Callithrix jacchus: one gene and its partner. The protein of the gene in region 1 purifies or fractionates together with the protein of each later gene. This does not show direct contact. Links are inferred from orthologs where the notes say so. Each region holds a gene or a part of one and is shown in the gene's direction. Other genes may lie near its edges. The genes, in order: SGK2 and FKBP5.

Evidence for each region.
Region 2: the proteins of SGK2 (region 1) and FKBP5 purify together in Homo sapiens (affinity purification with mass spectrometry; 3 studies listed by BioGRID and IntAct, with this or other methods). This does not show direct contact. The link is inferred for Callithrix jacchus from reciprocal best matches to the Homo sapiens genes SGK2 and FKBP5.

Annotation. Positions count from the first base shown.
Region 1 is NC_133506.1:38,947,852-38,952,096, forward strand, and holds the start of SGK2 (serine/threonine-protein kinase Sgk2), read left to right. Parts: upstream 1-1,316; 5' UTR 1,317-1,379; intron 1,380-2,782; 5' UTR 2,783-2,805; coding exon 2,806-2,841; intron 2,842-3,410; coding exon 3,411-3,460; intron 3,461-3,990; coding exon 3,991-4,048; intron 4,049-4,240; coding exon 4,241-4,245. UniProt on the Homo sapiens protein: Serine/threonine-protein kinase which is involved in the regulation of a wide variety of ion channels, membrane transporters, cell growth, survival and proliferation.
Region 2 is NC_133505.1:43,920,271-43,924,084, reverse strand, and holds part of FKBP5 (peptidyl-prolyl cis-trans isomerase FKBP5), read left to right. Parts: intron 1-2,704; coding exon 2,705-2,847; coding exon of another isoform or gene 2,848-2,851; intron 2,852-3,756; coding exon 3,757-3,814. UniProt on the Homo sapiens protein: Immunophilin protein with PPIase and co-chaperone activities. Component of unligated steroid receptors heterocomplexes through interaction with heat-shock protein 90 (HSP90).

The DNA of each region.
Region 1 (4,245 bases):
GCTCATGAATTGGTTCCACATTTCTGTTTTGTTCAAAGATGGAAGGCCTTGATATCGTGCACTCGGGTTTTCTCCAGTCAACACTTTCAGATCCTCTGCATTTCGGAGCCCACAGAGAACTCCTGAGGCCACTGGCCCCAGTTCCCTCCCTGACCAACTTTCTAGGCTCTAGTGCCATATGTCCCTCCCCTGTAGTATACTGTAGCCACACAGAAAGTTTGAGAAGGGCAGGGCCTATGGGCCCATCGACGCCTTCATTCCCCAGAACATCTGCCCACCCCTTGAGCTCCTAGGGAGAGGAAGGGACCCTGTGAGTACCTAATGACCGCCCCAGGCAGTGAGGCCTCCGTGAGCCATGGTACTCTCTGCAACGGTTTCTCACACAGTAGGAGAGCCACACAGGCCCACTGGGCCTGCCCTGAGGACTGGGCTGGAGCCCTTGAGGAGCCTGCAGGGAAAAGCCCAAAAGACTAGGTGCTCAGCAAAGACCAAGACAGGCCAGACTGAGCCAGACACCCAGGCTCCAGGTTCCTTCCTCTGAAACACATGCAGGTTTTTGGTAGGCAGAGGGCTCTCAGCTGCCATGGCTGACGTCTGTGGAAGCACCTTTTCAGTTCCAGATGGTCTACACAGGGATCATATACACAGGCCCCCTACATGTGTGTGTGCACGCACACACACAGAGCAAATTTGTTGATATACACCAATATGAACACAAACACACAATGACTTACCTATAAACACAAATTAATAGACGCCCATACTGGTCTGAACACACACCTTCAGACATCCACATACAGACTCACACTCCACTGACATGTACTACACAGAGACACACTGAAACACATCCATATGCACACCAAACACATGATACACACAGTCACAGATGCACAGACACAGGCTGACATAAATGTACAAATATGGTCACACTGACACATACATGAGGTCATCTATGCAGACTCATACAGACACAAATGCCTGAAACACAGAGCCACAGACAGACACACACAAAAGCATTCTATGCACAAAACACTTGCACAGCACACACCCTGACCCACACAGTCTAACAAGCCCCAGGGGTCTCCAGGGCTCTCCTGGGTCTATTACCCACTCCTACCCCTCTCCCCTCCAGGGTGAGATGGTGTCCCCAGGGAAGAGAAGTCTCCAGTCCCATCTTAAGCTCTGCTGGATCCCACATGACATCAACCAGCCCCCTCGCTGCTGCTGCCGGGAGCTGTGAGCTCTGTGCTGGGGCGCGGCCGGCACCGGGCGCAGACACTTAGGCCCTTGTTGGGAGAACAGAGAGAGGCTCTCTTGTCCACTGCCTGTCTTCAGTTCCAGCTGCTGGTTCTCCTAAAGGCCTCTCCTCAGATTTACAGGTATGTGGGACCTGGGAGGCCAGGGCCTGTTAGAAGGGCCGTCAGAGTCAGCCTAGGAGAGGGAGTGGCAGTGTGGTGGGCCGTGTGGCATTGGCGAGGGGCAGCCTGCGCTTCCTTAGCCAGCAGTTCTGCAGCTTGCTCCAAGGGCTTGCTAGGGCTGGGCCTCTCAGAGCACCTGGGCTGGGGGAGCCTCTCAATTCAATTCCCCTTCACTTTCTCTGTTCCCACGAAGGCCATGAGGTTCGTGCCTCCAGGATCCCTCTTGTAAAGATGGGAAGTCTCTACTCAGAGAGGCTGGGCTGCAGCCCAGGCCCCATAGTGGGCTAGGACTAAGGTCTTGGGATGCACAGTGCTGGGAGATCTCTCAGGTGAGATCTCTGCTCTCAGTCTTTGCCAAGCAAGGATGAGGTTGTGGGGCCCCAAGCAATCTGTGCCAGGGCCTAGGCACCCTGGCCTCTTCTCCACTGCAGGGTGGAAGCAAGGAAGACACTACTCCTGGCTGCATAGATCAGCTGGTCACACCATCTGTTGTTTGCTCCAGGATAGATGCTAGCCAGTCTTGAGTCTCTCTGTAGCCCCAGCCCAAGGCTTCCAGGGCAGCTGCCATTCCTGAGGCATTGGGCAGAATTCCTTCTGGCAAGGAGGTAATAGCACAGAGCCCAGCTGGGAGTGCCCACAGTAATTCAGCATTGCCATTGTTCCTCTATGGGAGTCCGGAGAGCCCAGCCTGTGCTTCACAAACTGTGTAGCCTTAGGAAGGTCCTGTTTTAGGCCATAGGCCTTTCACCTGTGAAATGGGAGAAGGGTTCAGACTTCATGCCCTGAAAAGGTCCTTCCAGTGCTGGTCATCTTGGACTTCTGGAGCTACCCTGACTCACAGAGGTCTTATTGCCCTGGCTGACCCCGAATCTTGAAAAGACTCAGCCTGGGAGGGGCCACAGTCTTTAGCCTGGCAGAAGGGCCGTCAGAGTCAGCCTAGGAGAGGGAGTGGCAGTGTGGTGGGCCGTGTGGCATTGGCGAGGGGCCACAGTCTTCCTTAGCCAGCAGTTCTGCAGCTTGCTCCAAGGGCTTGCTAGGGCTGGGCCTCTCAGAGCACCTGGGCTGGGGGAGCCTCTCTGAGTAGAGACTCAGAAGTCTCCAGTCCCATCTTAAGCTCTGCTGGATTCCCTGACCATCCCCCTCTACCCACTCTGAGATGTTTGTTAGGAAGTCTGGGTCCAGGGATATCATGTCTTGTTCTGTCCACACAAGGGTTGCTTACCTCTGGGGTAGGAAACCCTCAGGCTGTGGCGGGTGCACAAGTAGTGGGGGCTGGAGAGGGTGCTGGTGCCTGAAGCCCTGGATGGGTGAAGCTGACCCCCCAACACCAGCTCTCTCATGTCTGTGCCTCCCTGTGCCCCCAGAGCAGCCTGATCATTGCTACAGAATGAACTCTAGCCCAGCTGGGACCCCCAGTCCACAGGTAAGTAGTTCTTGGTCCCCCACCCATCACTGGGGGCCCACTTCCTCCCGAGGCTAAGGAAATCCATGGAGACAGATAGCCCCATGGGCTGTCCCAGAGAATGTCAGGGCTGACAGGGTCACTTCGAGCACTTAGAAATGAGCCAGAGGAGAGATCTGAGCAAGGGCTTCGAGATAGAGTGGAAAAATTGTGGGATTTGTCATGAAGACACCTGGGTTCTATCCCAACTTGCTTGCCTGCGAGACCTTGGGTAACACCTCTCTGGGCTCAGTTTCCTCACCTACTCAATTCGCACAACAGCCAGCTGCCTCCCAAGGCTGTTTTGAGAAGTGAGTAAGACGGTGAATATGTGGATTAGTGGGCAGGTAGATAGGTAGAAAGAAGGAGGGAGGGAGGGAAGGAGGAATGAAGGGAAGGAAGGGAGGGAGGAGGGAAGGAAGGAGAAAAGAAGGAAAAAAGAAGGCAGGCAGGCCTAGAAGAGTTGGTAGAGGTGGCATCAGGGCCTGGGCCAGGAGAAAGGAAGGTGGCCAAGGACTAGGCCTGCTGATTGCAATCACTTCTTTCTGTAGCCCTCCAGGGCCAATGGGAACATCAACCTGGGGCCTTCGGCCAACCCAAAGTGAGTTCTGGTCCCTCAAACACCTTTCCTACTTGATTCCCCTCATACCTGGCTCCCCTTGCTTTGGGAATACAATCCAAATTCTCTGGTCTAGCATTCAAGCCTCTCTGCCGTCTGGGCCCAGGACCTCCCCCCAGCCTTATCTCCCACGAATCCCCAGCCTCTGCCCATGCTGAACCCTCTTCCTGCAATGTCCCCCAAATGTCTGCAGTGTTAGTAACTCCCCACACTGCAGGCCCTTCTTGGGGGCTTTGGCTCCAGATCCCCACCTCCTATGCAGGCCTTCTGTGCATTATGTCTGGTTTTATCTTCACCCTGCCTGTTTAACTTGCATTTGAGTTCCCCTGGGGCAAGAGTGAGTCTTACCAGCCCCCTCTTGGCTGGGAGAACATGAGGTTCTTGAGGGATGAGGAGGCATGTCTTCCGAAAGGCTTTCCCCACTCTAAAGTTCAAAAGAAGCCCAGGTTTGCTCTCAGGCACCAGGTTCCCAGAGCTTGCAAACGCTGTCCATGTTTTTTCCTTTCCCCCAGTGCCCGGCCCACGGACTTCGACTTCCTCAAAGTCATTGGCAAAGGGAACTACGGGAAAGTGAGTGACTTGGTGAGGGTGGGAAGCCTGGGTCTTCCCTTCGGCAGCCTCTTTCAGCCCCTGCTGCCACGTGGATGTGCAAAGAGAGAGCTCTCACACCTGCAGACAAAAGCAGGGGCAGGCAGGAGGCCCTGTACTGTTGTCGGAAATCCAAAGTCACCCATAGGGCCTCAGATTCGTGTTTCCGTTCAGGTCCT
Region 2 (3,814 bases), on another chromosome or scaffold:
AAGTTTACACAGATAGTAAAGGGCAGACTTGGTATTCAAATCCTGGTGGTCTGAGGTTACAATATGCTGCATTTTTGACCTCTAAAGTTTACATCTGCCTTTCTACTGATGGAGAAGGAGGATGAAGATATATATTAAATGAAAAAATAGTTAAGAACTGAATGTCTACTTTGCTGTCATTTGGGTGTTTAATTTTTTTTAAAAGTGACAGCACACAGTAGAATACCAAAGAAACATAACAGTGACTTATAAGGAGCAAATGGATGACCTTTCAGCTTTCACATTTCATCTCTCTCGTGGGTGTTTTAATAATAGTCATGTATTACTTGAATAATTTTTTTTTTTCAAGAGACAGGATCTTGCTGTCAGCTAGGCTGGAGTGCAGTGACATAATCATTGCTCACTATAGCCTCTTACTCCTGAGTTCAAGCTATTCTCCTGTCTTAACCTCCAAAATACCTGGAGCTATAAGCATGTGCCACCATGCCACACTAATTTCTAAAATTTTTGTTGAGATGGAGTCTCACAATGTTGCCCTGGCCAGTCTTAAAACTCCTGGGCTCAAGCGGATGCTCCCACTTGGCCTCCCAAAATGCTGAGATTACAGGTATGAGCCAGTGTTCCTGGCCACTTACATACATTTTTAACTGAAATAAATGTAGCTGACATTTTGAAAAGTTGTAGTAGTTAATAAAGATTAAGCTAAAGTCATGAATGACAAATGTTTTATCTATCCCTGCTTACATACTGTTATGTAGGGTTTCCCTTGTCTTAATATCTTACCACCAGCTCATTTTAAATTCACTTCTTCTGGGGTTCGTCTTTTATTTGATCCCACTTTGAATACTTAAATTTTTGTTTTTATTTTTTGAGACAGGGCAGGGTCTTCACTCTGCTGCCCAGGCTGGAGTGCAGTGGCATGATCTCAGCTCACTGCATCCTCGACCTTCTGGGCCCAAGCGATGCTCCCACCTTAGCCTCCTGAGTAGCTGGCAGGCATCACCTTGCCTGGCTAATTTTTTAAATACATTTTTTTGTAGAGATGGGGGTTTCACCATGTTGCCTGGGCTGGTCTCGAACTCCTGAGCTCAAGGGATCTTTCTGCCTCCCAAAGTGCCAGGATTACAGGCATGAGCCAATGTGCCCAGTCCCCAGATACTTAATGTTTTTGATAGAGTACCTCATTTGTAATTTAGCCTTTTTTTTTTTTTTGAGACAAGAGTCTCGCTCTGTAGCCTAGGCTGGAGTGCTGTGGCGTGATCTCTGCTCACTGCAACCCCTGCCTCCCAGGTTCAAGCAATTCTCCTGCCTCAGCCTCCCAAGTAACTGGGATTACAGGCCCGCACCACCATGCCTAGCTAATTTTTGTATTTTTAGTAGAGACAGGGTTTCACCATGTTGGCCAGGCTGGTCTTGAATTACTGGCCTCTAGTGATCTGCCTACCTTGGCCTCCCAAAGTGTTGGGATTACAGGTGTGAGCCACCACGCCCAGCCAAAATGTAGTTTAGCCTTTTGAATTGCCTAAATTTTCTACTCTTTCCCAAAGGACTTGATACTACTTACAGTAAGATAATGATGCACATCATAGGAACTATAAACATTGAGATTACAATTATATAACCTAATATAGTTCTACAATTGAGCAATAAATTTAACTTAGTTTCCTTGATGGCTCTAGGGACCAGTTTTGTGGAAGGTAGTTTTTCCATGGACCCAGGTCGGGAGCCTGGTGAGGGGGGTGGTTTTGGGATGATTCAAATGCATTACATTTATTGTGCCCTTTATTTCTATTATTATTACATTGTAATAAATGATGAAATACTTATACAACTCACTACAATGTAGAATCAGTGGGAGCTGATTCTACAAAAGAAACATTCTTCTGATTATAAATTTTGAGAAGAAATGTGTCTCATGGACCCTTTGCAATTTATACTCTGGTTACTTCTTGTTTTGTTGTTTTTTGTCTACCCAACGAAATTATAAGCTTCCTTAGGACAAACTCTGTTTTTCAGTACTATTTTTGTTCTGTCTCTGCCTAGAAAATATGCACTTATTATATATAGTTGAAATGATAAATTAAGCAACGATTGCAACATAGCCATATTTCATGGATAATGTTACCACTAGTTTTCAAAGACTTCATTTTTGAGTAGTTTAGGAATTTATACTACTTTCATTCCTTTCAGCAGGGAATCCTTTTTGAGACAGGGTCTCACTCTGTCACCCAGGCTGGAATGCAGTGGCATAATCATGACTCACTGAAGCCTCAACCTCCTGGGCTCCTGTGCTCAAGCAGTCCTCCCACCATAGCCTCTGGAGTAGCTGGGACTACAGTTGTGCACCACCATACCCAGCTGTGGTTTTTTTTGGTTATTGTTTTTTGTTTTTGTTATTTTAATGTAGAGATGAGGTCTCGCTGTGTTGCCTAGACTGGTCTCAAACTCCTAGGCTCAAGCAGTCCTCTCGCCTCAGCCTCCCAAAGTGCTGGGCCAATCACCAGGGAATCTTTTATGATAGCCTTAAAAAAAATCTTAATTTATTTATTTGTGTGTAACTTCTACTGAGTTCTGTCATCTTGTGGCCCATACGTTCTAGCTGAATACACAGTATGAAGAACTGGAACTTTGAATATTTGTTTATGAAAGTTAAATCTTTTAAAAGAAGCCTTATAGCTTTCAACTACCTTTTCCTTTCTCTTAGGCCAAGTCATCAAGGCATGGGACATTGGGGTGGCTACCATGAAGAAAGGAGAGATATGCCATTTACTGTGCAAACCAGAATATGCATATGGAGCAACTGGCAGTCTTCCTAAAATTCCCTCAAATGCAACTCTCTTTTTTGAGGCAAGTATGTGTGTGATGCTGCCTTGTCAGCATCTGCTCTATAATAGAGATGGCTTTGAAGCAACAGTGGGAAAAGGAGCTAAGCTTGCTATAGAGTATCAGATCCAACTTATTTATTTTGGAGCATGGCTTCTTGAATTGTTTCCCACACACCCAAGGTTGTGCGTGCCAGTACTTTCTTAGAAACATGCTTCTAGCACAGAAAGTTCATATCCAAATAAACAAGACACTACACTTGGAAATAAAGATTCTGGTCTGTGGTGTGAGTGTGATATACTCAAAACTGACCAGAATACAGGATGGAAATGTTGGTGATAGATGTTGAAATATGCCTATGTCAAGTTGCAGGTACTTTCATATTATAAAGATTTCTATATTATAGATTTCACCTCTCTAGAAGCTGTTGATAGTGATAAAACATCATTCATCCTCTGCTGAATGACATGTATTTGGCAAAACTTGATTTTTAAGAACCACCCTAGCTAGGTAAGATACACCTTGTATTCAGTCATAGGCCACATTCGTGAGATTTATTCTTACATTTTGAGAAGGAAACTCTAAATCCAGGGTGGGAAAGTCATGGCCTCAAATAAAATAATTTTATATCACTACCTTGTAGCTCTGGCTTTTTGCCCACAGGGTAGTTTTCCTAGTATTTCCTATCTTTGTACTGCAGTCCCTTAGGATATAGTCCAAGACATTATTATTACATGAAATTTGTTCCAAGTATAGAAAATATAGTGGGTTTTGTTTGCTACTTTTCCAATAATTAAGATACATAGATGAATATATATATATATTTTTAAACATTTATTTTATAAAATGAAAGAATTGGTTGCCCTTGCCTTCACATATATTAAATTGGCTTTATTTGATCTTTTCTCAGCTAAATTCCTTTTTGCTTTCTAGGTAGAGCTTCTTGATTTCAAAGGAGAGGATTTACTTGAAGATGGAGGCATTATCCGGA